7 linked regions of the Sus scrofa genome follow. The protein of the gene in region 4 purifies or fractionates together with the protein of the main gene of each other region. This does not show direct contact. Links are inferred from orthologs where the notes say so. Each region holds a gene or a part of one and is shown on either strand. Other genes may lie near its edges. The genes, in order: MED16, MED13L, MED23, CDK8, MED21, MED18 and MED12L.

Region 1 (4,124 bases), on a different chromosome or scaffold from region 4:
TTTCCACGTGCAGGGCCAGCTTCACACCATTGTGCAGCCAGGACAAGGCCACGATGGGGTCCCCCTCCACCAGGCTGCCCACTGGGCTCTCCCAGCTGTTGGCCAGGTGGTCTGCCATGGTCCAGCACTTGATCTGCCCATCAGCATCGGCCGACAGCAGCCGGGAGCCTGCAGGGGAAGAGGGGGGCAAGCCTGTGTCACAAAGCACCCCCCCCAGTACATCTGGGGCCTGGGATGGGAGACAAGCAGGGGCATGGCACACATGTCTCCCAGGAACGACTCTGGTCACCAAAAATGGGAGGAGAAGGAGCCGAAAAGCCACAAGGCCAGGGCTTTCATCCTAGTTCTGGACAGTGGGGACATGACCAGGAAAAGACAGAACAAGTAAGCTTGGGATTTGAGATCAAGGGTGAGCCCCACCCTCACCTGACTGGTCCCACTCGAGGCAGGTGATGGCCTCGCTGTGCTCCGAGTTGATGGAGTGCACGTCCCAGGGGTGCTCCGTATCCAGGATGTGGATCATGCGGGTCAGGTCTGCAAAGGAGGGCCAGGTCAGCGGCAACAATGGCAGGGCCTCGAGTGCCTGATGACCCCAGGGGTAATGGGAGCAGGTCCATGACTCTGCCTCCAGAGAGGCTACAACCACTTTCAAAAGAGACATAGAAAATGGAACTGGAAAAAAACAAACCCAAAATGCTAACAGAGAGTGGCTCTCTGGGGAAGGTAATGCCTTTTTTTCTTCCCCTCATCCAAAATGTCTGTGTTTTTCTCCTTTCCTCTAGGAGCATGTGTCATTCAACAATAGCGAGAACACAGGCCCAGCAGGCAGGCTGCAGCTCAGAGGCTTTCAGAAGCCAAGCAGTGACATATAAGGTCTGGAAAACTCAGGCAGGAGCCTCAGCAGGGGCTGGGGACCACCCTCATCTGGACAGGTCCATCCCCTGGGGGTGATTCCAGTGCCCCCTGGTGCCAGGTGCCCTCTGGGCCCTCACCACCCCTCATCACACATGAGGGAACCCTGAGAGACTGGACAGGCCTGGAGGTCCATGGGCACTGGGGCACGAGCCCATGCGGGGGGCAGGAGGGGGCGCACCCTGGTCGTCGTTTCGGAGATCCGTGGTAAAGGCGATGAGGTTGCGGCAGGACCAGGCACAGGCCAGGGGCACCGAAGGGCAGTGCGTGCTCTTGGGCCATTTCTCCCACTCACAGACGTACGCCAGGTCCATGGTGCCCGGCTGCCAAGGTCATACACAGAGGGCGGTCACCAGCTTCTGAGGGAGGGAGGACCAGTTTGTCACAGACGTTCATGCAGGGCCTCAGGGCCCAGAGCGCAGTGCTGGATGGTGGGTCACTGCAGGGACCCAAAGACTCAATCCCTGCTCTGTGTATGTCAGGGGAGCTATATCTGACACATGGATGGCCAGGGAGGCCTCCCAGCGTAGAAGTGAGGGATCCAGGAATGCAGCCTGGAGGAAGGATATCCCAGGCAGGGGGAACAGCCAGTGCAAAGGCCCAGAAGCTGGACCAAGCCCAGGGTCATCAAGGAGCGGCAGGGGGCCCATGTTGCTGGAACTGAGTGAGAGGAAGGGAGGGGTAAAGTGAGGGTGGGGTGGGTCATGCAGGGCCTGCGCTTTCACCCTGAGTGAGGTGGGAGCCCCAGGGGAGCTGAGACCTTCTTATGTTTCACACACCCCTCTGGCTGTCTGGAGAGAAAGGCTTAGGGACAGGGTGGGGGTGACCATGCCAGTCCAGGTGAACAATGATGGGGACCATGAAGCAGTGAGGAGAGGTGGGACTGCTCTATCCTTAGAGAAGCCTTTGGCAGAGGCAAGGAGGCAGGATGGGGGGCAGGCAGCAGCTTGGTGCAGCACTTCAAAGGTAACAACCGCAACGGAAACAATGAACATTTCCACCTGCTGTCTATGTGCCGGGCATTGATTACGGTTATTTTCACCGTTACCAGAACCCAATGAGACTGTATGACCAACCCATCTTTCTCAATCACTTCCCCCAGGCCTCCCGCTTCCTCAAGCCTTGGCCAGGAACCCCAAGGCCCTGCCCAGAGGCCCCTTCAGCAGTCTTTAAGCTCTGCCCTCAAAGCTCTCCAGCCCCGCCCCCTACAATATTTGCTTTCCAGACCCCAGTCCCAATTTGCCCCTTGTGTTCCCAGGGATAGCTTAAATTTGTTCTCTCCCCAGGGTCTCCCAAACAACTCGCCTCCCTATAACCACCTCCAAATTCCCAACCCTCCAAGTCCCGCCTCTTTTTGCCACTTCAGGCTCCACCCCAGGGACCACTACCCAATAGCCAGGTGCTGGTCTCCAGTGGCCGCCTTCCAGCCCACCAGAATCCCCAGGCCCCTCCCCAGGAAAATACAGCCTTAGACCTCCCAACCCCTGATCAGGTTCCAGGCCCAGCCCCGATTTTCCCCAGCTCGGAGTGCCCGGATTCCCAGACGCCTCAGACTTTCCCCCAAGTTTCCGTCGCGACCCCCCCCCCCCGCCCAACGTGCTCCCGGGCGCGTACCCAGCACCCCTTGCTCTCCAGGCCCGCCCTCTAACCCTACAGGCCCCGCCCCCGGCCCGCTAGTCGCCGCCGCGGCCGTAGGCACCGTCCTGAGGCCGGCCCAACGCCCAAGTCCCCAGTCCCCGCTCACCGGGACGGCCTGTTCTCCCAGCCGAGCGGACGGCCACGGCCTGCACTCCACCTATCGGCGCGGCTACGGCACCGCCATCTTCCCCGGATCAACGAGTCGCCCACGTAGCGCGGCCGTTTCCCGGAGACTTCTGGGACAGCAGCGGCTCCGGCCCCGCCCCACTACCGATATAATTTGCATACATACATTGATAGTTTCCCAACAGCCACCCGAATTATATTTCGTGAAAGAACACTTTCTCAACTTCAGTGAGTAGCCTCATTCTGTTAAGCTATTGTTGCACTGATATCAGAAAAGAAGAGACAAGTTACTGAGTATTTTTCTTCTAAACGGAATTCACCCTTAGCGTAAAGTATTTTATACTCCGCCCTATAAATAGCGGTCGGGTTAACCCCGGTGTCGTGCTCGCTTCGGCAGCACATATACTAAAATTGGAACGATACAGAGAAGATTAGCATGGCCCCTGCGCAAGGATGACACGCAAATTCGTGAAGCGTTCCATATTTTGCTTTTCCTTGCTTCTTTTCCCCGTAAGCAAGACGGCTTAACCAGTCGTGGGCTTCTCTGGATTCACTCGTCTCCCGCTATCAAAAGCTGGTTCTTTTTCTGTCGGGCTCTCCCCAGTTGGGAAAGTCTTTTCTAGGAAGACCTCCTGATATTTCGGGGAAGGTGTACTGGGCTGCAGTTAGCGCCTGGGCAAAGGTATGGGGGCCGGGCTCAGGGAATCGGAGTGGGAAGAAAACAGCCAGCTAGGGGCAGCCGCAGGACCGAGTCTGTGTGTCAGTGCAGGAGGCCTGTGGAGTCCCCTAGAGCCACCACACCCGCGCCCTGAAGTCCAGACTGGCCTCCAGGCACCAGAAATTCGGTCCCCTTCACAGGTGGGAGCCTCCAAGCTGGTTAATCCAGTATCTCCTGATGTCCTCTGAGCCATTTGGATTTCCATTATTTAGCATCTGTGTTTAAAACTTTTTAAAATGCCTGTTAAAATGGAACTCAGCACACTTAGCACCCAGTTCTTGGTTTCTAAACGTTGCCCCAGTGAAAGGAACTGGGCTCCTGGGCGAAATGCCTGGTTCTAGAAGGCAGCACAAATATGCAGAGGAGCCCGGTGCTCAAATAAATAAATACCCCGCCTCAGTGAGACAGGAATCACTGAAAGAGCTCCCAGTATCCAAACCTGGAACAATCTGAGCAACAAAATGAAAGGATATTGTGTTGTAACCCAAACAAGAAAGCGAATGTCCAGGCGTCTGTACTGATATAAACAGTTAAATAAATAAATACACAGGGGGAAAGAGACAAATGTCACCTGCAGGATTCCCAGTAATTGAGGCAGATAATCCATCTTCAGGGAAATGGAGATCAGGGTGAGGTTCAACAGTGAGGAGCCCTGTGGACAGCAGGGACCCCTGATTGGGGCCAGGTGAGAAGGGCAATCAGGATAAAAGCAGATAACCCAGGGTGACAC
Region 2 (3,500 bases), on a different chromosome or scaffold from region 4:
GAGGGCTGGATTCACAGGGACAGACGGTGGGTCCAAACTCTCCGTTTCCTGACCTCGTGGCTGAGGGCTGAGTGTTGGCGGCAGAGGGGAAATAGGGGAATGAGGTGAATCCATAGGATTCAGATTCATTTGCTTGCTTGTATTTCTGGAAGGCACGGCCATTTGCTTATCATACTTCCTACTGCTAGACACCTCTAAGGAGGAGTCTATCCCTGCCAACCCTAGCTTCTGTCCTGGTGGATCTTGTTCCATGCATAACTCTTCGGCCACAGAGGGCCTATGATGAAATGGTATCAAGGGTCTCTTTTGCAACTTGTCTCCTTTTTCCTGTCTTTCTGTTGTTTTGTGCTTAGAAGAAGCAGGAGGTGGTAAAGATGAAGATGATGATGGTCCTGCACTGAACCCTGGTTGTGATATTGTGGGAGGTCGACTAGGTCCTACTGCACAACGCTTTAAAAGTTTATGCCTGAAATGAGAATTAAAATGAAGTCAATAGATACGCAGATGAAAATAAATGCATCATTCTATTTATTTATTTATTTTGGTCTTTTTAGGGCCACAGCTGTGGCATATGGAATTTCCCAGGCTAGGAGGCCAACTGGAACTGTAGCTGCCGGCCTATGCCAGAGCCACAGCAACATGAGATCTGAGCTGTGTCTGTGACCTACACCACAGCTCATGGAAATGCCGGATCTTTAACCCACTGAGGGAGGCCAGGGATCGAACCCATGTCCTTATGGATGCTAGTCGAGTTCGCTAACCACTGAGCCATGATGGGAACTCCTGCATCACTGTAATATTATGGAAGAGACACTTCTGACAAGGTTCTGTCTTTTAAAACATACATTATGTGCACTAATACATTTAAGTGAACTCCAGGTGTTAAATATATTCATAAGGACTAAAAAATGCAAAACCCCCTAAGAGAAAATGATGAACCAATCACATATAAGTTAGGTAGATAAGAGGTAGACTTAAGAAACACTGATTAAAATGATACTCATAACCTCTACAAAAATACTAATTTGAAAAATCCCCAAATCCTTCAAATTTGATGAGGGTCTTAGATAATCTGTTCATGTTGCATTTTAAAACCAAGAGTAATGAGACCATCTGTCAAGAAAAAAAAAAAAAAAAAGCTTTCAATTTCTGTTTTACAACACGCTAGTAAGTCCAATATAGAATGGTTTATAAAACTTACAAAGTTGTAATTCAGGAATAAAATAACTATACAACTCTCCCCCAAAGTGGGAAACTAAGAAAATAAGGTCAGCCTTAAGAATATTCAATAGGATAAATAGTATACTACGAACCTTATATGCTACTATCATCTAAGAAAGACTGTATAAAAGACAACTTCGGATCTTACACAAACAGGTTAAAATGAGACAAGTAAAAAGGCTGTGAGAATATTAAAATGACGCACATATACAAAGGTATCTATACTATATAAGCAGGAATAACAAGTCTATTCACATCCTAATACACCTCTTGGCAAGCAAGGCAAGCTTTCTCCATAAGGGCCCACTAGATGATGCTAAGATTTAATCTGTGCAAAAAAGTTACATAACAGGTTAGCCAGTTCCTCCCAATATATAACTCATTCCCATGGAAAAATGTAAGCTCTCCTGCCAGTGTAGCAGTAACTCTCTGAGGCCACCAGGGTGGCATTAAATTACTGCTGCACTGCACTAAATGATGCCCTAGTGAGCAGTAAAATGAATTTGTGTGGTATAATGGGATGGTTTAGTGGGACAGCAGGATGGCCACCCTGCCCTATAAAGCCATTAAACAGTGTGAAGGGTGGACCTTTCCATAAGGGGGTTGGTAATCCTGCAGCAGACAATCTGAAAACACTCTTACCAAAGTCTTTGGTACTCTTAAAAAAAAAAAAAAAAAAAAAGTTAAAGAAAAGAAAAAGAAAAAATCCTGGAGTTTCCACTGTGGATCAGTGGTTAAGAGTCCGACCAATATCTAGCCATGAGGAAGGATGTGGGTTCGATTCTGGCCTTGCTCAGTGGGTTAAAGGATATAGCATTGCCATGAGCTATGGTATAGGTCACAGATACGGTTTGGATCCGACGTTGCTATGGCTGTGGAGTAGGTCAGCGGCTACAGCTCTGATTCAACCCCTAGCCTGGGAACATTCACATGCCGTGGGTGCAGTCCAAGAAAGAAAGAGAGGAGTTCCCGTTGTGGCGCAGTGAAACAAATCCGACTAGGAACCATGAGGTTTTGGGTTCGATCCCTGGCCTTGCTCGGTGTTGCCATGAGCTGTGGTGTAGGTCGCAGATGCGGCTCGGATTTGGTGTTGCTGTGGCTGTGACGTAGGCCAGCAGTAACAGCTCCAATTTGACCCCTAGCCTGGGAATGTCCGTATGCCCTGGGAGCAGCCCTAAAAAGACAAAAGTCAAAAGGAAAGAAAGGAAAGAAAACGAAAGGAAACGAAAGGAAAGGAAACGAAAGGAAAGGAAAGGAAAGGAAAGGAAAGGAAAGGAAAGGAAAGGAAAGGAAAGGAAAGGAAGAAAGAAAGAAAGAAAGAATCCTGACTTTGAAGAAGGCTGCTTATGCATAAAGCTATTGTTAATAAGGCAAAACTTGGACTTAAATATCCATGGCACAGTACCACAATAAGAGATGAAGGTCTCATCTGAAAATATCTCGATTATAACTTCTAAAGGTGAGAAAGACAAACACCATATGACATCACTTATATGAGGAATCTAAAAAATGGATACAAATGAAATTATCTGCAGAAAAGAAACAGACTCATAGACTTTGAAAACAAACTTACAGCTACCAAAGCAGACAGGCAGTAGTGGAGGGATGGACTGAGTGTCTGGGAATGGCATATGCACACTGTGATACACGGAATGACTGGCCACTGGGGACCTGCTGTATAGCACAGTGAACTCTACCCAATATTCTGTGATAATCCATATGGCAAAAGCATCTTAAACAGAATGGGAGTTCCCATCATGGCTCAGTGGAAATCAATCTGATTAGTATCCATGAGGATGCAGTTTGATCCCTGGCCTTGCTCAGGGGTTTAAGGATCCAGTGTTGCCATGACCTGTGGTATACATCGCAGACGTGGTCTGGATCTGGCATTGCTGTGGCTGTGGTGTAGGCCTGCGGCTATAGCTCCCATTCGACCCCCAGCCTGGGAACCTGCGCATGCTGCGGGTACAGCCCTAAAAAGACAAAAAATAAAAAAATAAAATCAAATAATGTAAAATGGATGTGGGTACATGTATAACTGACTCGCTATATTGTATAGCAGAAATTTTCACAACATTGTAAATCAACTATACTTCAATAAAACTTTAAAATTAAAAAAAAATGAAACTACTCTTTGGTACTCAAAGTCTTTGGTACTCTTAAAAAAATAATCCTGACTTTGAAGAAGGTTATCTATGCATAAGACTATTGTCAATAAGGCAGAAATTGGACTTTAAATCTCCAGGGCACAGTACCACAGTTAAGAGATGAATGTCTCA
Region 3 (3,885 bases), on a different chromosome or scaffold from region 4:
TTTGGAATGTGTATGTCCTTATATATTTTCATTTCCTTTTATTCTGTTTTTATGCAGTATTACAATTATTCCCACTCTAGGATCTCAAAACAATATATACCTTGCGGCAGCAAGAATATATTGCTGAGACTAGGTTAAGAGTAATACTTGAAATCATTTCTAGCATAAAATTTCTGGAGAATTTTAAGAATATTATTAGTTTGGAAAAATTCTTATATGATTATATAAATTTTAAGGTGTCCCTGCACAGCAATAAAAATTAAATAATTATGATAATATGAACCACCAAGATAAAGGTCTAGGAGGAATGTATGTGGAAATTAAAATTTGAAGTATAGTTGGTTAAACTTCACTAATTCTTTTTTTTTCTTAAAAAAATCAGTAACTCTTTAACTCCTAGGTCAATGACGGTCACCAACTATAGTGTACAGCCTGTGGAAGTAGCTCAGTTCTCTGTCCTAACCCAGACAGTCCACTGCCTGGCACAGAGCAGACACTCATTCAAACTGGGTAATTAATCAGTTTATTCATTCAACAGGTTTTACAAATTATTTTTCAAATCTTTTACAATTTTAATGTCATTCCTCCCCCCAATTAACAGTCTCTCAAAATCTAATAAATTCTAAAGAACCAAAATGTACATGATATTTAAAAATATAAATACTTAAAAATTTTAAGATTATAAAAATTCAAAGAATCACATCATCTGCCAGATAAGAATGGCAATCTCGAAAAGCAATTAATTTTTAAAAGCAGAGATTGAATAATCATCACTTAAGCATCATTTCATTAAGTTTATGCATTCTAGCTTTGTTTTCTTACATGGCTTTCAACTCATTTCATACAGTAAGTTCAAGTCCACAGCAAAGGCAAAAACTTGCCAATATACTGTGATAGAAAAACTAGCTTATTTACTTGGGTATCTATGATAAAAAAAAAAAAAAATAAGCCATTTTAAAAAGAGTATGAAAGTATTCTTGCTCCAGTAATGCAATGAATTCTAGAGTCTTTTACTTGACAATAATCTCTTATCCCAACGATATCCCAAAAGAGATGTATGTATAAAAGGATTTGTAATAACTATTTTATATGTGTGGTGACTTTAAAAAATGTATTTAAAGACTGAATAAGTCATTAATACTAAAAAACAAAACAAAACAAAAACAATGGCCAAAATAGGAAAGATTGAGAGTGCCTTGTACAAGTCACTTGGTAGGTACTTCCCTGTTCCCAGGTAGCTCTAATGCACTGTTATAGGTATGAACAGCGTGTAGCTTACTTGATCTCTTAGAGACAACATATATAGGGGGAAGGGAGTTGGAGTCAATAGATTCACCATTTGAATCAAAATAAAACAATCTGAACGTCACTGCTTTGACTACTCACTATGCAGCATGACCATGTTCAGATTTAATAATTCGAGTCCATTTTCAAAGACGGACGCCTTTCCACTTCACTGCAGCACACTCTGACTTCACTGAGTCACAGGTAGAGACACTGGCCCCTGACTGGACTGCGGTGCTGGAGACCCACTACTGATGGCTTGTGGAGGCACTGCAGCTGGCTCCATCTTGCTGATGTGAGTGATGAATCGAAGACGAAGTTTTAAAGCTGGTTTTAAATTACAGATAATCTTCTCTACCTAAAATGAAAACACATTAAAAAGATATTTTAACCAGAGAACTTCGACTTCCTACCTTTAAGGAAGCAATTTACCCAGATCATGAGACAATAAACTAGGGAGTGGAATGAGTGGATGAGAAATTTTATGTTTTAACAAAAGCAGATAAAACTACTTCTCTCTTACATGAGGAAAACATGTGCTGTCTCTTATATATATATACATATATATATATATATACATGCACATACACAAAGATATTCACGTACCCAGCTAGCCAGTTATCCCACTGCCAAGAGCTAGTATAGTTCACACTGGGAATTCTACACATCCACGAGGGTGACCATCCTTTTAAAATGCCATCTTCACAGAAGCATGAAGCATGATTCTATTTCAAAGTTCTTTGAATAACTAATGTTCATAAGATTTATCTATAAAGCTAACATTTTTTTTGGTTTTGATTAACAGTTGGAATTCAAACTAAATATTAGCTCTATTCTTACTTAAGATACCTTAAAGAAATACTTTAAAGAAAGCAGTTCCATGGCTTTCTTAATTTATTCAAATGTTCATTTGATCAGCCCATTAATAAATCTCTCTCTCTTTTTTTTTTTGTCTTTTTAGGGCCGCACCCACAGCATATGGAGGTTCCCAGGCTAGGGGTCAAATTGGAGCTGTAGCCATTGGCCTACACCACAGTAACAGCAATGCAAGATCTGAGCCACATCTGTGACCTACACCACAGCTCATGGCAACACCAGATCCTTAACACACTGAGCGAGGCCAGGGATCAAACCTGCATCCTCATTGATGCTAGTTGGGTTTGTTACCACTGGGCCAAGACAGGAACTCCGATTAAAAATTCTTCCTTCCTGTGTTCTGTATTGGGTCAAAGTTTCCTAGGCCCAGATAGAAGGGATATGCTAAACACAACACTTCTGTACTAGTCCCATTCAGTGCTCTTTGACAATCTTGCTGAGACATAAAGGAGTCAAGCTCCAAGAATGAATCCCGAAGACTAGAATTCACAGGTTTATGCGTATCAATTTATGTTCCTTTCTCATTTTAGAAAGAAATAACATTAAAGAATGGAGAGGAGATCACTTAACTTCACCTCCACCTACCCTCCCTCTACCCTTCTAAAAGAGCCAAGATTCTGCTTCCCACAGACAGAAACCTCAATTATGATCTAAGGAGGTCCTTTCTACTTTGAGACCACCTTACCAGGGGGTGGCTCTTTGTACATTGGGTCAGAACAGGCCTCCCTTTAACTTCACCAGAGTTTGTATGCCTTTTAAAGTGATGCAGAACAAATTTAATACTGATTCTAGATGTCAACCAAATAGTAATAAGGATACAATTAAATAGTAATGAGGATACAATTAATTCCCTGGGACTTTTAAAATTCAAGTTAAGCAGCCCAGGTTCCCTCAAATACCTTTCATTAGTTATTCTCTTGACAGCTTTAGTCCTCTAGTTACACTGCAGTTTGTCTGATGTCCTGACAGTGTATCCTAATCACTGTGGGGAAAGCTAGGCCCTGCTTCACTCATAACGTAAGGCCTCTCTGATCTTTCCAGTAGCCATAATGTACTGTTTCTTCCTAATGAGTTTACTATTAATAAACCCCCCAGGTCTTTTTCGATGTTTTGTTGCAAATACCAAGGGGGGAAAGTGTGAGAAATTATAATAGGTATTTACTTTAATACTACATCCAGAATAATGTGCTCGTGTAACCTAAAAAGGTCCATTAGCCTTGTCCCCTTAAAAGAAAAAAAAAAAAAAAAAATGCACCAAAAAACCCTACTCACTCAAACAACAAAGTCCAATGGTGTATGTTTAAGTTTTCTAAACTAAACATCATTTAAAAATAAAGTTAACTTACTTGCTCTTTCACACTGTCGCCAGTGAACATATACTTCATGTGATACAGGAAGTCACAGATAGGATCCATGTAGTTTAAGTGGGTGCTACACTGGTCTACATTCAGCAACATGTCATAAAAGGCCACACCAATCTATTTAACAAACAAGATAAAATGATTTAAATGGTCAAAAATGAGAGGATAGATAACATATTCGTTGAGGAACTGTCACTGTTATACAGACCTCTAAGCACATGAAGGACACTATATTGCTTGCATTTATAACGGAATCCAGAGAGCTACAGGGTGTCTGCTACACTAATAGGGCTTAAATGCAATTTCTTTTCCTAACGTAGTAATTTCTCTTCAAATTAAGAGGCAGACAATCCCTTTTCTAGAA
Region 4 (3,500 bases):
GATGGAGCACGATTAATCTGTACTTTCTGAGCAGCATTACATGATTTTAATTTTCTTCAGAGTATGTACGAGCAGGCAAACAAAACAGAGCTACAATAACTCTTAGCGATCTAGAGTGTTTCGGCACCTGTCCTAAGAAATGACAGTGCCGATCAGGCCTGTTCACCTTAAGAAGAACCAGTGGCTCCCAGAGCTTTGAAAACAAAAAAGATGGAAATACATGAACAAAACAATTAAAGCCTGACAAAGAAAGAATAAAAGGAACAAATACGTAAGGAAGGTAAAATAATCAATTGATGCCATATACATTTCTCTTCATTACTATTTTCATTAGGGCATTACAAATTGCTTTTTTTTACCAATTAAGTACAGAAACAGTGGGGGCAATTCCTTACCTTTTATTTTTATTCCAGGGCGTTAAAACAAATGGGATATGGATACCATAAAATGTCACCAACACCTAAGCGATTTTAACAGAATCTTTCTTTGACTCTTTTTACCGCAACTATTTTTGTTACCCTCTGACCCAGCTAAATTCATTTCAATATTCCAATTAAAATAAGAAAATAAAATGGAAAAAGGGTAGGTTTTAGTAAACTGAATTACTACTGGGTTTTTCTTTATTTATTTTTTGTCTTTTGCCTTTTCTAGGGCCGCTCCCGCAGCATGTGGAGGTTCCCAGGCTAGGGATCCAATCGGAGCTGTGGCCACCGGCCTACACCACAGCCACAGCAACGCCAGATCTGAGCTTTGTCTGCGACCTGCACCACAGCTCACGGCGTTGCCGGATCCCCAACCCACTGAGCGAGGCCAGGGATCAAACCCGAAACCTCATGGTTCCTAGTCGGATTTGTTAACCACTGCGCCGCGACGGGAACTCCACTACTGCGTTTTTATTAAAATGAGCATTGAAAGTATTTATCTGGTTTAAGTGAGTGTCGGTAAGATGATGATGAAGTCAGTGGTGACCATCTCTGAGCGTGTTACAGGCAGCGTAGTAGCTCGTGAAAGCAGTTACGATACCTGCATGTAAAATTAAATATTCCACACCTGCTGGCGAGAAGCCACACTGAATACCATACCATCTCCTTTGCTCCACTACCTTTGACTACAAATCATGTTTATAAACCGGCCTGGAAATACTTCCATAATTTGGATTATATAATTTTGTTAAATTTGAGTATGATGAGTGCTCAATTCAATATTGGCCACCCTGATTGAATGAATTTTTATTAATAGAAACCTAATCTGATTTGATCAGATTTCTTTTAAAAGAAGAGAAGCCAACCGGAAAAAAAAAAAAAAAAAAAAAAAAAAGGAAGACATTTACAACCATCACGGACCTTGGACAACAGTTTCATAAAACAGAAGATTTCATGTGTATTTTTTTCTGTTTGAGAACAATTCCTTCCAGATAACTTAGAAAAATAAAAATAACTTGAATCAAATCACATTTAGTTTAGAAAATAGGGCTCTACAAACAGGATGAAAATATTCTTTATAAATCTGAAAGCAAATGAAACTAAAATAAGTTTCAATTTCTGAAATCTGTTAAAGTTAAAATCATGTAAATGGAGCTACTTCTGGAAATAAGCAAAAAAGTTTTTATTATTTTACTATTTGCAGAAGGTGAACTTACTTTTAAATAGTTTTATTGGAATTCGTGCTGGTTTTATTTCAAAATTTTGAATTTGTATTTACACACTACAGCTCAATGAAAATAAAAATCATTCTGAAGACTGTGAAACTGAACCAAGATACTTACAATCCCTTGCATATCAGTTTAAGTTTTCCCTTTTTTTTAGCTCAATAATTACTCAGTCATGCTTTTTGGTAAATACAGACCGGTATGCAAAACACAGTGAAATATTCAAAGACCTAATTACTTATTAAATATCAGAAAAAATACATAAAGAAAAAAACATTTCACAGTAGCAAAGTAATTGTTAATGAATAAACTTGTTTACTTGTTTTGTTTCTTCTACTGAAATCTTTGCTAACACATTAATACAAAAACGATCACGATATAAGTTTTGTGAGTATGTTTCAAAATTATTTCAGCTATCCTACTATAGATTTCCATTATATATACCACAAAGTCTTATCCCCAAGTTAGCACTTTAGGTTTTTTTTTAATGTAACTTATATTTAATAAAGGAGTAAATTTTATAATTTTTAAGACCTGTATAAATCCCATTTTAAAAACAATCTGCTGAATAAATGCAAAATACAGCTAGGAAACCATTCTTAGAGAGCTGTTTACACTCTTCAGGGTCTACTGTTTTCTGCAGTGTGTTACACAGACCAAGCTGCTAAGATCAGAGGTAACGATACAGAGCCATGCTCTGGCCTTGGTCACTCATCAACCGCGTTCTATGGGGTTACCTTTATTCTAACAGTGGGCCTCGCAGAGTAAGATGAGCTCCTAAGACTGTTTTCAGTCCCTCTCAATCCCTGACCGAAACCACACGTCCACGGCCACCAGCAAGTCACCTTACCCAGAGGTCATGTTCCGCGTAGTCAAACAGAAGCCACACTTTCCTATCTGCGTGAGACAGAAACACCTTTTGAAGAGAGATGACATTTGGATGCTTAAGCTCTCGAAGTAGCTGCAAAACAAAGGCGATGCATTAAAAATCTTTGTCATAAAGATAACACTTTAAAACCCCCACCCCATTTGCAATTCTAAGGCAATACTAAAACCTAATGTGAATCAATACTAAAAGTACCCCCACAACTCTGAGATACTAAAGAGGTGCTTTGGTAACAAATGAGGAAAAAAAAAATCTGTGGGAAAAGATATAACTTAGTAAATCTGTCTGTACAGTCGTTATTGCTTGGTTGGTTTCTTTGTTTTAGTTTTTTATATAATGTAAAAATATGACATAAAAACGACCATTTTAACCATTTTTCAGTGTACAACTCGGGAGCACGGGTACACACACAGTGCTGGGCAACGAGCCCCACCAGCCACTGCAGAACCGCCTCAGTGTTCTCCGCAGACACTCGGTGCCCACTAAACACCAACGCTTCCCTCTCCTCTGCCCTCAGCCCCTGGTCACCTCTAGTCCACTTTCCGTCTCTCCGAATGTGCCTACTCTAGGTACCTGGCATAAGAGAACCATACAGCCTTTGTCCTTTTATGTCTGGCTTGTTTCACTTGGCTCATCGTCTTTAAGGTATCTCCGCGTTGTAGCCTGGGTCAGAATTTGACGCCCTTTTACCAATGAGCACATTCCACACTATGGATCCACCCCGACTGGTGTGTCCCCTTTTCAGCTCATGGACACTGGCTGCTTCCACGTTGTGACCGCTGGAATAATGCTGCTCTGAACACGGCTGTACAGACAGGTACCTCAGTCTCTGCTTTCAATTCTCCGAGTAAATACCCTGGGGTGGAACGGCTGGGTCGCAGGATAACTCTACGTGTAACTTCCTGAGCAACCACCAAACTGGTTTTCATAGCAGCTGTACCAGTTTACATTCCTATCAGCGCTGCA
Region 5 (4,046 bases), on a different chromosome or scaffold from region 4:
GATAATGCTCCTGATGTATGGGTCACCAAGGTAAGAGGAGCTTATTAAGTTGTTTTCCAGAAATTTGGAAAATCTGAAGTGGGCTTCCACCCAGTTCAGACCAGTTAAGAATAGTTGGGACCACTGATCATAAAATAACAGAAATATATGCCAATACCTCACCTTTCCCCACTCCTGAGACCACCCTGCTTCTTTATTCCATAAATACCTCAAGCTTCTTGCCTTCTGGGAAGCAATCTGAAATTTGTTCTCCTTTCTCCTCACTTGGCTGTCTCCTGAATAAATAAAGCCCTCCTCTGCTGCAAACTTCAGGCATCTCAGTGTTTGGATTACTGCACCCTCAGCAAACACATCTGGCTTGGTAACATTACTATTTCCAAACCTAAGACTCTTACCCTCCCCACCAACTTCTCTCAACAGTCCTGACCTCTTAAACCTCAATTCCTTATCTGCAATCAGTGAATAAGTATTTCCACTAAGTTTGACTGCCATCATTAGAATGACAGAACTCAAAGTTAACTGTTTCCTTTAATACTTAATTTGTATTGAGAATCTTCTAGTCAACCAATCTACCTTCAGACTCTCAACTTTCATCTTCAAATCCTGTTAATACTACTACAAATCTTTACCTTTTCCTCCTCCATCGCGCTGCTGTTTTAGTTCAACCAATTACCTCACATAAGAGTTATTTACAATAGCCTCATGATTTTCTAGCTCACTATGTCATTTACTTAACCCTGCTCAAAAATCTTGAGCTCACCCTAGCATTGCCTTCAAGATAATCTCCAACTCTTTAAGGCTCTTTCCAAGCTTTCAATAATCTAGGTCAACTCAACTTGTTCATTACCTACTACTCTTTCATATTCCTGACTAGTGATAAATTCATTCCTGATAACACTGCATTTGCTCACATTTTGCAAATGTAAGGGAGTGGCCATAAGTGCTCTGAAGCTGTACAAATGTGGATTCTAATTCTGGCAAATAGAGTTTTAAAAGAAATTTTAAATTGGGAATATTCTCACATTACAGCATTGTTATGAGGAACAGAGAAAATACAAGAATATTCAACACTGTGACTATGTCCTTATGAAGCTCTCAAGATCCAGTTAGTCACCAAATATTTATCAAAAATCAACACTATGATATATCAACTGTATATAACTATATAAACATTCTAAGTTAGAGCGTGAACAAGACAGTTTCTGCTCTCATGAAGTTCTCAGAGGATAAAATTATATTTTAAAAATTTTACAATTATGAGTCAGAAAAACACTAAGACTCCCTCCTAACAGCACTCACTAGCCCACTTTACTTCAGCACTTACAGCTGAAAACACTCGATTCAACTCCCTAACCATATACTGCTTTTGTGTCATTTATTTAAATGTCTCTTGAGTATATGACGTCTTTCTAATCAGACTGCAAACTCCTTAAGGAGCATCTCTCCATAAACATTATAGTGCTTCTACACATACTAGTTAACCTAGAGGCTTCTTTGCAAAATCAGTATGCCTACTTTTGGAGTAAAGGCCATATTCACTTTGTTCTTACTATCCTTCTGGCCAGGAGACATGGATGACTATGCGATATTTCCCCTAAAATAACATTTCTATCAAGTAGCATCATTACAATTTGATTTTGTAAAACCTCAAAGGACTGTCTCCCCAAGGTAGGTTGTTCAGTAGTCCAGAAAAGTCACCAAAGGTAGAATTTACCTTGGTGAATTCATCGACATTTAGGGGCTGGCCCTCATAGGCAAAGTAGATCAGTTTTTAACATGCAGATTCACACTCAATATGTGTACATTCACACTTATTGCTCACGTACAAAGACTGAGCAATAACAAGAATGCCAGCCTATTTCCTTCTAGTGAGAAAAAAAACTAGCAAGAGGTACCTGGATTTTCCTGTCAACATCTATAGGCATCTTCTCTGGGACATCAAATTACAAACAGAATGAGAGAAATGTAACTACCGATAGAAAACAATTTAGCTCTTAACGGTAATAAGCATATGAATCCCTTGGTTTGCATCACTTTCACTTCACATAACAGGAAAAATAATCAGAAGGTTCAAAGTAAGAGGGCCAATTACAAGATCTGACTTTAATAGGGAGTAGAACTTTTGGCAGACATTTTTAAAAACTTAAAGAGACAAGGATCAGAAGATTCACTATCATAAAGATGTCAGTTTTCCCCAAACTTGACTTACGCTGGGGGAGTGGCCAAGAGATGCAACGACCCTTAGTCTACAGGAACCAACCGAGATGAAACAAAATTACTCACTTTACCGTCACTCCCGCCCCAACCTGAAAATTTGGGCGAAGGATTACTCTTCGCTAAGGTCCAATCCAATGGTTAAGAACACGGGTTTCCCTCCAAGGGTTAAAATGTATGGGTGCGGGAGGGAGTTTCCGCTTCCTCTCTCTTCCCCGCAAGAGGGGCGACCCCATAAGCACCGCTGACAAGAAAATAAAGCCGTTCCTAGAAAACATGACAAGGCCGTGAGGCTTGAGACTAGGCAGGGAGACCCTCCACCTCGCAGGCTGAGGCCGCGGGCTCCCGCAGCTCCGCACCATTCCACCGGCCGCCTCGGCCTCACAGACCGCGGCGCCGCCTCCCGCCGACCCGAGCGTGCGTTGCGGAAAGACGCTCCCCACTTCCAAGCTTGCCCCCCAAGTCCCTTTTTCTAACTTGCTTTCCCTCAGGAAAGAAGACGGAGACTAATCGAGTACAATTGCTCACCGAGTTCACGGCGTCCTGCAGCTGTGTCAGGCGATCCGCCATGTTTCTCCCCGCAAACAAAGAGACGCTAAAGCAGCTGCTCGGATGCAATTGGGCAGCTTTGGTAAGCGTCACGACCAATCACAGGGCTGAGTTCGTGGAGGGGGTGGAGTCAAGCCGAACTCCACTCCCCGCGCTAAGCGGCTGGGCTTTCCTAAGGCTTATTTTTGTTCAGACCAGCTGCACCTGGGGGAAGCTCCGCTGGGCCCACGTTTAGTAATTTGGGGGCTTCTGGGGTGAGCCAATGTACTTTCTCATGGCTTTTAAGTAAACACTTTGTGGAGACTGGATTCGCGGTTTTTCTAAGTAAGTTTCCCTATCCTCTTTGTATCTTTTTTTTTTTTTTTTTCTTCTTTTTTGAAGGGCCGCTCCTGGAAGTTCCCAGGCTAGAGGGTAGCTGCCAGCCTACAGCAAAACAGACACAGACACAGCCACAGCAAGGAGGGATCCGAGCTGCATCTGTGATCTACACCACAGCTCACTGCAGCTCAAGATCCTTAACCCCCTGAGTTAGGCCAGGGATCCAACCCGCAGCCTCATGGATACTAGCCCTGGTTTGTAACCTGCTGAGCCACAAGGTTTGTATCCATTTTTAAACATCACCTTGAATACCTATTTTACATTGCTTTGGCTTTCTAGGTAGACCACATGGCCTACACAATGAACAACTAAAGAATACTTGGGAGTTCCCACTGGTACAGTGGATTAAGAATCCGACTACAGTGGTTAGGGTCTTCCAAATCCCACTGGTTCAACAGCTTTAATCCCTGGCCCAGGGAACTTCCACATGCCTGTGCGGCCAAAAAAAAAAGGGGGTTTTTTTCTAAGTTTTACTATTTTCATGTAAATTTTATGAATTACTAGAGTCCACATGGATTACTCCTCTCTCCTTTTATGATTTCGACACTTTCACATATGCCTTTTCATGGGCTTTTCTTTTTTTTTTGTTTGTTTGTTTTGTCTTTTTGCCATTTCTTGGGCCGCTCCTGCGGCATATGGGGGTTCCCAGGCTAGGGGTCCAATCGGAGCTGTAGCCACCGGCCTACACCACAGCCACAGCAACGCGGGATCCGAGCCGCGTCTGCAACCTACACCACAATTCATGGCAACGCCGGATCGTTAACCCACTGAGCAAGTGGCAGGGATCGAACCCGCAACCTCATGGTTCCTAGTCGGATTCGTTAACCACTGGGCCACGACGGGAACTCCTCATGTGCTTTTCTTGAATCCCCAACTGGAGCATGTGGTTTTAAGAACAGGACCCA
Region 6 (4,165 bases), on a different chromosome or scaffold from region 4:
TTGTTCACCCAATTCTTACCTATTCTTTTTTTTTTAATTTAATCCTACTTTTGAAATGTCAGATAAAATGTGGGTAATATTTTTTTTAAGTTTAAAAATGTAAATGAGTAAGACAGTATAAATTACAGCAGGGGAAACTGGAATTATAAATGACTGTATAGGAGTTCCCATCATGGCTCAGCAGAAATGAATCTAACTAGTACCCATGAGGATGCAGGTTCCATCCCCAGCCCCAGTCAGTGAGTTAAGGATCCAACATTGCCATGAACTGTGGTGTAGTTGCAGACTTGGCTTCGATCTGGCACAGCTGTGGCTGTAGCGTAGGCCAGGGGCTACAGCTCCGATTCAACCCTGGCCTGGGAACTTCTATATGCCTTGCTCGGTGAGTTGGGGGTCCAGGATTGCCATGAGCTGTGGTGTAGGTCACAGATGCGGCTCAGATCGCACATTGCTGTGGCTGTGGCATAGGTCAGCACCTGAAGCTCTGATTCAACCCCTAACCTGGGAACTTTCATATGCCAGGGTGCAGCCCTAAAAAGAAAAAAAAAAAAAAGATGTGTAGCAATTAAGAGGGTGGGTTCTGAAATCAGGCAGCTGCTTAAATTTGTACCCCAGTCTAAACTCCCTGGTGTGTTATTTCTTGATGCCTAAGTTTCTCCATTAGTAAAATTAAGTAATAATTATACTTGGGTTACAGGGCTGCTGTGAAGATCAAAAATTCCAATATTTTGTTCATTAAGGATTTTTTTTCCACATTAAATTCGTAAAAGATTGCATTACAATTTTTTGAATTGTTAGGAGTTTTGGTGCCCCTTAAATTTTTCGCTCCAGGGAGTGCCTCAACCACCATACTCTAGCTCCATTCTTTGCATTTTACATGCTTGACACACAAGCAACATTCAATAAATGAGCTGAATTTACTTATCTCCCAAAATTTTTGAATTGAGGTAAAATAAACACAGAAGAGTGAACAAATATCAAATGTATTGCTGAGTTCCCTAATTGTTCAGAACAGTCTGCTAAACAGTAAAAGATGTCTTTCCTTCTTATCTTCAGGTACTCAACCAAAAGAAGTTTTGGTTTTATGATCTCTTTTTTTCTTCAGCTCTCTTCCCCCGGCTCTCTTTTCCCCCTGTAAGTTCCAAAAGAATTCCTTGACAAAAACAACTCCAGGCCGTCACACTTGAAAAAAGGAAAATATTTTCCGGGAGGACTGCCTTTGATGTCAAGGTCCCCCTCACGCCCCGAGGAACGCGCTCAGGAAGGCCGCCCTCTTCCACGCAGAATCGCAGTTTGCGCATGCGCTTCTACTTGCCAGGCCGCAGAGATGATTTTTATGCCTTCCCGGCACCCTTACGTCGCAGAATGGTGATGTCAAGATTTGCGCGACGGAGACTTTTTGCCGGAAGTGGAGGGGAGAAAGTGTTGCACTCCACCGGGGGGTGGGGGTCTTCAAGTTCAGTGCTGGGGGCTAATTATCGCTAAAAAGCTCCGAGGTGCTCTGGTGGCTTCAGTTCCCTGCTTTGCCAGAAAAGGCTAGAACACGCGCGGAGGTGTGTTTTTGGTGTGAGTAGGCACGCGTCGATGGTGGGGTAGGAGGACCTCAATCGTCAGAAGAACTTCGCACTTCTGTCTGGCTCGCTTTCAAAGGCGTTTTGAACGCCTAGATTTTTGTCTGGTTTATCTCTGCCATGGACTTGCTCTGTATCCTTCCCTCCAACCCCCACCCAAAGTGTCAGTATCCTCATCTCCAAATTGAAGGGGAGTCACCTCTCAGTTCTATTATTTCACGGCTATTGTGTCATCTGAGCCACAAAGCCTTGGGGGTTAAATGTCGACCTCATTTTATAAGGAAGACATTGAATCCCAGGGTCAGCGGTTTGATGGCTTATTGCACAGGAAATTCTGAAACTGAAGGTTTCAGACCTTGAGACTGAAAGATTATAACTCCATGATCAGGCCTCCTTTGTGTATTTCTGTATCATCAATTCCTGAAACTGACTTATGGAAGTTGTTCAAAAAGTTCTGGATGAATGAATGAATCTTTTGATGTTAAGGCTAATGACCCAGGTAGATCTGGTGTCTCTCCATCTCTCTGATGTATTAACAAGCATAACTCTTTTCCAGGTGTGTCCTGTGCTTTATTTGACTGGGACTCTGAATCCGGTTCTGTTGCTTTCAACTTAAACAGATAGCATGGAGGCACCTCCAGTCACTATGATGCCTGTCACCGGGGGCACCATTAACATGATGGAGTACCTGCTGCAGGGTAAGTGAACTAGGGAGCTTAGATTACCTGATTTCCTCTTTTCTGTTCAGGTTCCATGGAGATGAAAGGCTAATATACAAAGGCTACATAATTTCTGGCACCTCTTTTTTTTTTTTTTTTCAATTTGGCTTTAATTATGGTCACAAACATATAGCATTAAACATTTTGAGCATAACATTTAGTAGTGTTAAATATGTTTGCATTGTTGTATAGCCAATCTCTAGAACTTTTTCATCTTGCAAAACTGAAACTCTGTACTCATTCTTCCTTTCCCCTCCCCCCAGCCCTTGGCAACAACTTTTCTACTTTCTTTTTTTTTTTTTCTTTTTTTATTTTCTTTTCTGCTGAACCTACGGCATATAGAAGTTCCCAGGCCAGGGATCGAACCCACACCACAGGAGCAGCTCTGGCAGCTACAATGACAACACAGGATGAGTAACCCACTGCACCACAGGAGAATTCCAAACCTTTCTACTTTCTGTTTCTAATTTTGACTACGTTAGATAACTTTATATGAGTGGAATCATATGGTATCTGTCTTTTTATGACTGGTTTATTTCACTTAGTATAATGTCCTCAGCGTTTACCCGTGTTATCACACGAGACAGGATCTCCTTTCTAAAGGCTGAATAATGTTCTATAGTATGTATATACCACATTTTCTTTATCTGTTCTTCTGTTGTTGGACATTCAGGTTGCTTCCACCTCTTGGTTAACATGGATAATGCAGTGAACATGTGTATGCAAATATCTCTTCCAAGATCCTGCTTTGAATTCTTTTGGTTAAATATCCAGAAGTGAAATTAATGGATCATATGATAATTTTATGATACTATTATTAATTCTTGTAGATCAGGAAATAGAATTGAAGTAACTTGCCCAGATGAGAAAGCTCAAAACTCAGTGTAATGATTTTCAGGAGGCCTTATAATGTTTCGCAAAAAAGTTTAGACTTTGAATTATCCATTTAAGAACTTAATATGGAAGTTCCCGTCATGGTGCAGTGGTTAATGAATCCGACTAGGAACCATGAGGTTGCAGGTTCGATCCCTGGCCTTGCTCAGCGGGTTAAGGATCTGGCGTCACCATGAGCTGTGGTGTAGGTTGCAGACACGGCTTGGATCCCACCGTTGCTGTGGCTCTGGCGTAGGCCGGCGGCTACAGCTCCTAGATTAGACCCCTAGCCTGGGAACTTCCATATGCTGGGGAGAGGCCCTAGAAAAGACAAAAAAAAAAAAAAAACTTAATATGAACGAAGTAGGGTTATTAACTTTCATTCTTCCAGCTGTCCCTCCTTCAGTCTTTTCCATCTTAGTAAGTGCCTGTCATTCACCAGTTGCTCAAGCTATGAATTCAGGAATCAATCTCCATTTTTTCACTTTATTCTCACCTATAGCTTATCTCTAGTTCTGTTTATTTTACTTCCAAAATATATATTAAATATGTCTTTTCTCCACATGCAATGGCTTGGTTTATCATCCTTTGAACTATTTTAGTAATTTTGTGCTTATTGCATTGCTTCCACTTTTGATCATCTGTCTCTTCTCACACAATAGTTCAACATCTTTTTTTGGGGGGAGGCAGTTTTTTAGGATCCTTAACCCACTGAGCGAGGCCAGGGATCGAACCCGCAACCTCATGCTTCCTAGTCAGATTCGTTAACCACTGCGCCACAACGGGAACTCCAGTTCAACATCTTTTTTAAAAAATGTTTTATTATTAAAAAATTCAGGGAGTTCCCGTCGTGGCGCAGTGGTTAACGAATCCGACTAGGAACCATGAGGTTGCGGGTTCGGTCCCTGCCCTTGCTCAGTGGGTTAACGATCCGCGTTGCCGTGAGCTGTGGTGTAGGTTGCAGACGCGGCTCGGATCCCGCGTTGCTGTGGCTCTGGCATA
Region 7 (4,185 bases), on a different chromosome or scaffold from region 4:
TCTCAGCTGCAGCTCTGATTCCACCCCTAGCTTGGGAATTTCCATATGCTGCAGGTGCTGCCTTAAAAAAAAAAAAAAAAAAAAAAAAGGTAGGGAATTAAGAAGGGAGACCAGCAGAAAACTGTCTTTCACTTTTACCCAAACAGTAGACACACTGCTAACTCATTTTGATTTTAAAGTCTTTATAGTTAGATAGCATTTTGAGTCCTTTACAAGTTTTTTCCTTTGTGGAGGACAATTGGAGGCCAAGATATTCTAAAGGAAGAATTTAGGTTACATCTCCCTACCAGATTTGTGTATCAGCACAAGGCATACCCAAGGTACCATCAGTGATCAATCTATCCACACACCTACTCACCCACCTAGCATCCATGCCACCAGCCAACAAGCATTTTTTTGAGAGCTCGCTATAGGCCAGGTTCCATGTTAAGTAACTATGTTGCAGCAGTGAACAATTACTGTCCCCTCCAGTGTATGTCACTGTTTCGGGGGGTGGGTGGAATTAAAAGAGAATGGCAAAACCTTGGTAATTGTCACAGATGGGAGATGAAATCTTGGGGGTTCACTATGCCATTTTTTCTGTGTAGTGTTCTGATGTATTGACAATTTTCCTAATAAAATTAGGTAACTGTCTAATTGCTGTTTCTCAAGCAAGGAATCTCGATTTGATGGATGCTTATACCCCAAGCGCAAGTTCAGCTTTGAAGTTACACCTAGGGTATAAATGGAAGAGAAATCCTTGGGGGAGGGTGCGGAGAGCTGTCAGGAAATGCCTCTTGGTGGAAGTAACTGTTTTCTAAAAGTACTTGCTCAGACTGAGTAAAGATTTCAAAAACTACAGGCCTGACTTGGCTTCAGGGAAGTGCTTTGGGAAGTGCTAATAGGTCAGAGTCGGGAATGAGGAACTAGCCTCCTACAAAGTTGCCATGCCTTATCTACCCTTTTCTCACCCCTCCCCTCCATCCTTTGCTCAAAGTCGGCAGTGTTAAGTAGATCATTAGGGTTAGCCAGCATCTCCTGAGCACCTACTATGTTCCAGGCACTGTGCAAAGGCTTTGGGTTAGATTCTGCTTCCATCATCTTATAGAGGATGGAACTAGGAGTCTGAGAAATTCCTTAAGGTGGGAGAACCTGACCTTATCGGGCAAGGGCATTTCAGGCCTTCCAATTCCAAGTCGTGGAGAACTGATCAGAAACTTAGGATCCGGCAGAGTTTGCTTTGTGGCTTTGAGCAAGCCACCAGGTCTCCCTAAGCTGACTTGATTTCTCTATCTATAAAAAGAGTACAGTAAAGCCTTGTAATTTTAAAAATTTATTTTATTTTATTTTTTTTAAGGATCAGAGACCTTTACTGCCAAGACCCTGGCACGAAGCAAGGGCTCCATAAATGGCAGCCATCATTCTTGGCCGAGCGCATCCTCCCAGGCGCGCCTCCCGTGAGGTCCCTCGGGACAGACTGGGCCCGCCTCCGCGGCTCCGGTCTAGCAGTGCTCGCGGCAGGTGGCCCAGCATCTGGGTGCCCACGCCCCAAAGCGAGCGGGGAGCGCAGGCGGATTGGATGACCAAGGTCTCCCCTGGAGGATCCCTTCCCTCCCTCCGCAAGCCCGGCGCAGGTGAGGTTTCCGGCTCAGGCCGAGGGGACAGCGACTTTAGGAAAGGTCGAGGAGGATGGCGCAGGCTGCGGCCGGGAAAGGGATCCTGGGGGCGCCCTCTCCCTTGCCCAGTTTCACCCCAGGGCCAGCTCCGTCGCCCCGGCCCGCGGGCTGCGCGCTCTGCGGCTGTGAAAACCCGGAGAGGCGGATCGGAGCGCGCTCGCAGCCAACTCCTCCGCGGTCCGGCAGCCGAGCTGGGCATGCTCAGTGCGGCCGCCGCGCCGCCGTCCGCCAACTCGGAAGCTCGCGCTCCCGGGCCGTGGGGGCGAGAACGCCGGCGGCGGCGAGCCGGCGTCGCCAGCCGCCCCCAGACAGTGGCAAACTTCGCGGCGTCCCTGGAGCTCTCCTGGCCGAGACCGATACCTTACAAATCAGATCAAAGCCAGTCCTCCCCCCATCCCAGCCCGAATCATGGAGGCTGCGGCCGCCCAAGTGCCGCCGCTGTCGGCGGCCCCTGCCCACTAGCCGGGGACCAACAGGTAAACTGTTGGGGGCGGGGGTTGGGAGGGAGGAGGAGCTGCGGCTGGGAAGAGGGCGGCTGGCAGGAGGAGCTCGAGACGCCCGCGGACTAGCTGCCCCCGTCGGCTCTCGCTGCCAATCCTCAACCCCCCTCCTTCCCCAGCCCCTGGAGGGGCAGCAAAGGGTTAAGTCGGCCCCGAGCCACCGTGAGCACGGCCCCCTCCAGCCGCCGCGACCGCCAGCAGTGCGCCTCGGCGCCTTCCCAGAGCCGCCGAGGGGACCCGAGCCGCGGATGCGCCACCGGAGCCCTGTGGGCGTCTAGGAGGCTTTGACCGCTTCCTCACCGTCCGCATCCCTGACTCCCTCATTCCCTCCAGGCCTCTCTCCTAGGCTTCCCTCCTTCCTAGCCAGGTCCGCGCCCAGGTGGCGAGGTCTGCGGGGCGCGTGGTGGCGGGGGAAGGTCTCAGCCGAAGAGCGGGGCAGGGGCGGGCCGCTCCGCATTCTCTCCCTCGGGTAGGAGGGCCACCCTTTCCTTGGGCGAGCACTTGAGCCACCCGCCTGGGGCGCCAAGAAAAGTTTTTTTTTTTTTTTTCCCCCCCCGTGCCCTTCCCCCACCCTGCGCCGGGCTGGGTTGGTTTGGGTCCATTGGTGAAAAAAGTCACACGTTCCCATCAGCTGCTCCTCCCCCTGGGGACTGGGTGGAGGGGACCGGGGGCGGGCGCCGCGGAGGACCCTGGCAGACCTCCAAGCCCCTCCGGTAGCGGTATGTCCCAGGGGCTCCAGCGCAGCGGGGTGCCAGCCTAAGGCTGCCCCCATCAGTGCGTGTCTGCGTGCCGGGCAGCGGCAGCATCCAACCTGCTTTATTCCTGCCTGCAGCGCCACAGCGAGCGAGCAAGGAGGGGGAGAGAGGGAGTCTGTCTGCAAAGTGCTGCTCCCTGGTGCTCAGAGGCGGCTGCTCCAGCTCCAACTCTCATTCATTTCGCCGGTTAACATGAGAGATCATGGCCGCCTTCGGGCTTCTCAGCTATGAGCAGAGACCGCTGAAACGCCCCCGGCTCGGGCCGCCCGACGTCTACCCGCAGGACCCCAAGCAGAAGGAGGTAAGGGCGCCGGCGGCCTCTCCCGCAACTGGAGCCGCGCTCCGCAGCGCTGACCCGGGGCCAAGTTGGCCCAGCGGGGCATCGCCGGCGCTGCGGGGGAAGGGTCGGCAAGCGGACTGGCGGCGGGGTTTGGGCTGGGGGCCTGGGGAACCCCCGGCAATGGAGACGGAGCAGTTGTCAGTCTCCGCGCTCCACTAGGGCGCTAGCTAGCTCTCCCGGTGCCGGGTCGCTTCCCTGTTCCCGGGCCTTGCACAGCGCAGCCGGGCGCTTCACCCGGTTCTTCCTTGCGGAAACCCTCCAGCTCCCTTTCCCCCGCTTCAGCCTGCTTTATTTTTCTCCCCGCCGCTTCGGTAAATCCTCGTAAACTTTTTGAAAAATGTTGGAATGTGGTGCATCCGACACAGGTCTTGGGATTTGCGCCAGCTGAGCAGGGAAGGGGGTGGGGTGGGAGGAAGATCCTTTCTGTTCGAATTTTCCAATTTAGAGTGGAAGTCGTTTTTATCGAAGTGATGGAATATTTACTCTTTGGACGCACTTCTGTTTCCCCTCTCCCCATAAAAAATCAATGTAAAAGGGAAACACTAATTTTCATCGCCGGGCAACTGGCTTAATTACTGGAGGCTGTTTTGTATATGTAAAAGCAGTCGGGTTACCTTGGAAGGGACTAGGTTCCTGAGCTGTTAATTTCTTTGAATGAAATTAATTGGAGAAACCTGACTCTTGCTCTAGATACACTAGCTTCAATGGCTAGAGTAACCATGACATTTTGTAGCCATGTATATGTTTGTAGTTAACAAGTAATTATGTAACAACTCTTCAGTTATAATGATCACCCCTGGCTACACAATTTGCCCAGGGATTTGCCTTTTTTTTTTTTTTGAAGATCACCTGCTACCCAGCTGTGCTTTCTGAGTTTGCCAGCTGCAGCCCACCCATCCTCTGTTTTCTTGAGCTACACATGAAGTGAGCCTATT

Evidence for each region.
Region 1: the proteins of CDK8 (region 4) and MED16 purify together in Homo sapiens (affinity purification with mass spectrometry; 10 studies listed by BioGRID and IntAct, counting the BioPlex papers as one, with this or other methods). This does not show direct contact. The link is inferred for Sus scrofa from reciprocal best matches to the Homo sapiens genes CDK8 and MED16.
Region 2: the proteins of CDK8 (region 4) and MED13L purify together in Homo sapiens (affinity purification with mass spectrometry; 6 studies listed by BioGRID and IntAct, counting the BioPlex papers as one, with this or other methods). This does not show direct contact. The link is inferred for Sus scrofa from reciprocal best matches to the Homo sapiens genes CDK8 and MED13L.
Region 3: the proteins of CDK8 (region 4) and MED23 purify together in Homo sapiens (affinity purification with mass spectrometry; 10 studies listed by BioGRID and IntAct, counting the BioPlex papers as one, with this or other methods). This does not show direct contact. The link is inferred for Sus scrofa from reciprocal best matches to the Homo sapiens genes CDK8 and MED23.
Region 5: the proteins of CDK8 (region 4) and MED21 purify together in Homo sapiens (affinity purification with mass spectrometry; 14 studies listed by BioGRID and IntAct, counting the BioPlex papers as one, with this or other methods). This does not show direct contact. The link is inferred for Sus scrofa from reciprocal best matches to the Homo sapiens genes CDK8 and MED21.
Region 6: the proteins of CDK8 (region 4) and MED18 purify together in Homo sapiens (affinity purification with mass spectrometry; 5 studies listed by BioGRID and IntAct, counting the BioPlex papers as one, with this or other methods). This does not show direct contact. The link is inferred for Sus scrofa from reciprocal best matches to the Homo sapiens genes CDK8 and MED18.
Region 7: the proteins of CDK8 (region 4) and MED12L purify together in Homo sapiens (affinity purification with mass spectrometry; 3 studies listed by BioGRID and IntAct, counting the BioPlex papers as one, with this or other methods). This does not show direct contact. The link is inferred for Sus scrofa from reciprocal best matches to the Homo sapiens genes CDK8 and MED12L.

What each region holds. Positions count from the first base shown.
Region 1 is NC_010444.4:77,489,629-77,493,752, reverse strand, and holds the start of MED16 (mediator of RNA polymerase II transcription subunit 16), read right to left. Parts: upstream 2,801-4,124; 5' UTR 2,657-2,800; intron 1,272-2,656; 5' UTR 1,227-1,271; coding exon 1,094-1,226; intron 535-1,093; coding exon 427-534; intron 169-426; coding exon 1-168. UniProt on the Homo sapiens protein: Component of the Mediator complex, a coactivator involved in the regulated transcription of nearly all RNA polymerase II-dependent genes.
Region 2 is NC_010456.5:36,326,029-36,329,528, reverse strand, and holds part of MED13L (mediator of RNA polymerase II transcription subunit 13-like), read right to left. Parts: intron 467-3,500; coding exon 1-466. UniProt on the Homo sapiens protein: Component of the Mediator complex, a coactivator involved in the regulated transcription of nearly all RNA polymerase II-dependent genes.
Region 3 is NC_010443.5:31,998,207-32,002,091, reverse strand, and holds the end of MED23 (mediator of RNA polymerase II transcription subunit 23), read right to left. Parts: intron 3,639-3,885; coding exon 3,507-3,638; intron 1,643-3,506; coding exon 1,475-1,642; 3' UTR 501-1,474; downstream 1-500. UniProt on the Homo sapiens protein: Required for transcriptional activation subsequent to the assembly of the pre-initiation complex. Component of the Mediator complex, a coactivator involved in the regulated transcription of nearly all RNA polymerase II-dependent genes.
Region 4 is NC_010453.5:4,113,442-4,116,941, reverse strand, and holds part of CDK8 (cyclin-dependent kinase 8), read right to left. Parts: intron 2,610-3,500; coding exon 2,499-2,609; intron 1-2,498.
Region 5 is NC_010447.5:46,733,582-46,737,627, forward strand, and holds the start of MED21 (mediator of RNA polymerase II transcription subunit 21), read right to left. Parts: upstream 2,801-4,046; 5' UTR 2,785-2,800; coding exon 2,743-2,784; intron 1-2,742. UniProt on the Homo sapiens protein: Component of the Mediator complex, a coactivator involved in the regulated transcription of nearly all RNA polymerase II-dependent genes.
Region 6 is NC_010448.4:85,382,720-85,386,884, forward strand, and holds the start of MED18 (mediator of RNA polymerase II transcription subunit 18), read left to right. Parts: upstream 1-1,365; 5' UTR 1,366-1,566; intron 1,567-2,127; 5' UTR 2,128-2,196; coding exon 2,197-2,269; intron 2,270-4,165. UniProt on the Homo sapiens protein: Component of the Mediator complex, a coactivator involved in the regulated transcription of nearly all RNA polymerase II-dependent genes.
Region 7 is NC_010455.5:91,270,203-91,274,387, forward strand, and holds the start of MED12L (mediator of RNA polymerase II transcription subunit 12-like protein), read left to right. Parts: upstream 1-1,385; 5' UTR 1,386-1,613; intron 1,614-1,634; exon of another isoform or gene 1,635-1,668; coding exon of another isoform or gene 1,669-2,433; intron 2,434-2,987; 5' UTR 2,988-3,112; coding exon 3,113-3,211; intron 3,212-4,185. Other genes in the region: basic salivary proline-rich protein 3-like, read left to right, coding at 1,669-2,433. UniProt on the Homo sapiens protein: May be a component of the Mediator complex, a coactivator involved in the regulated transcription of nearly all RNA polymerase II-dependent genes.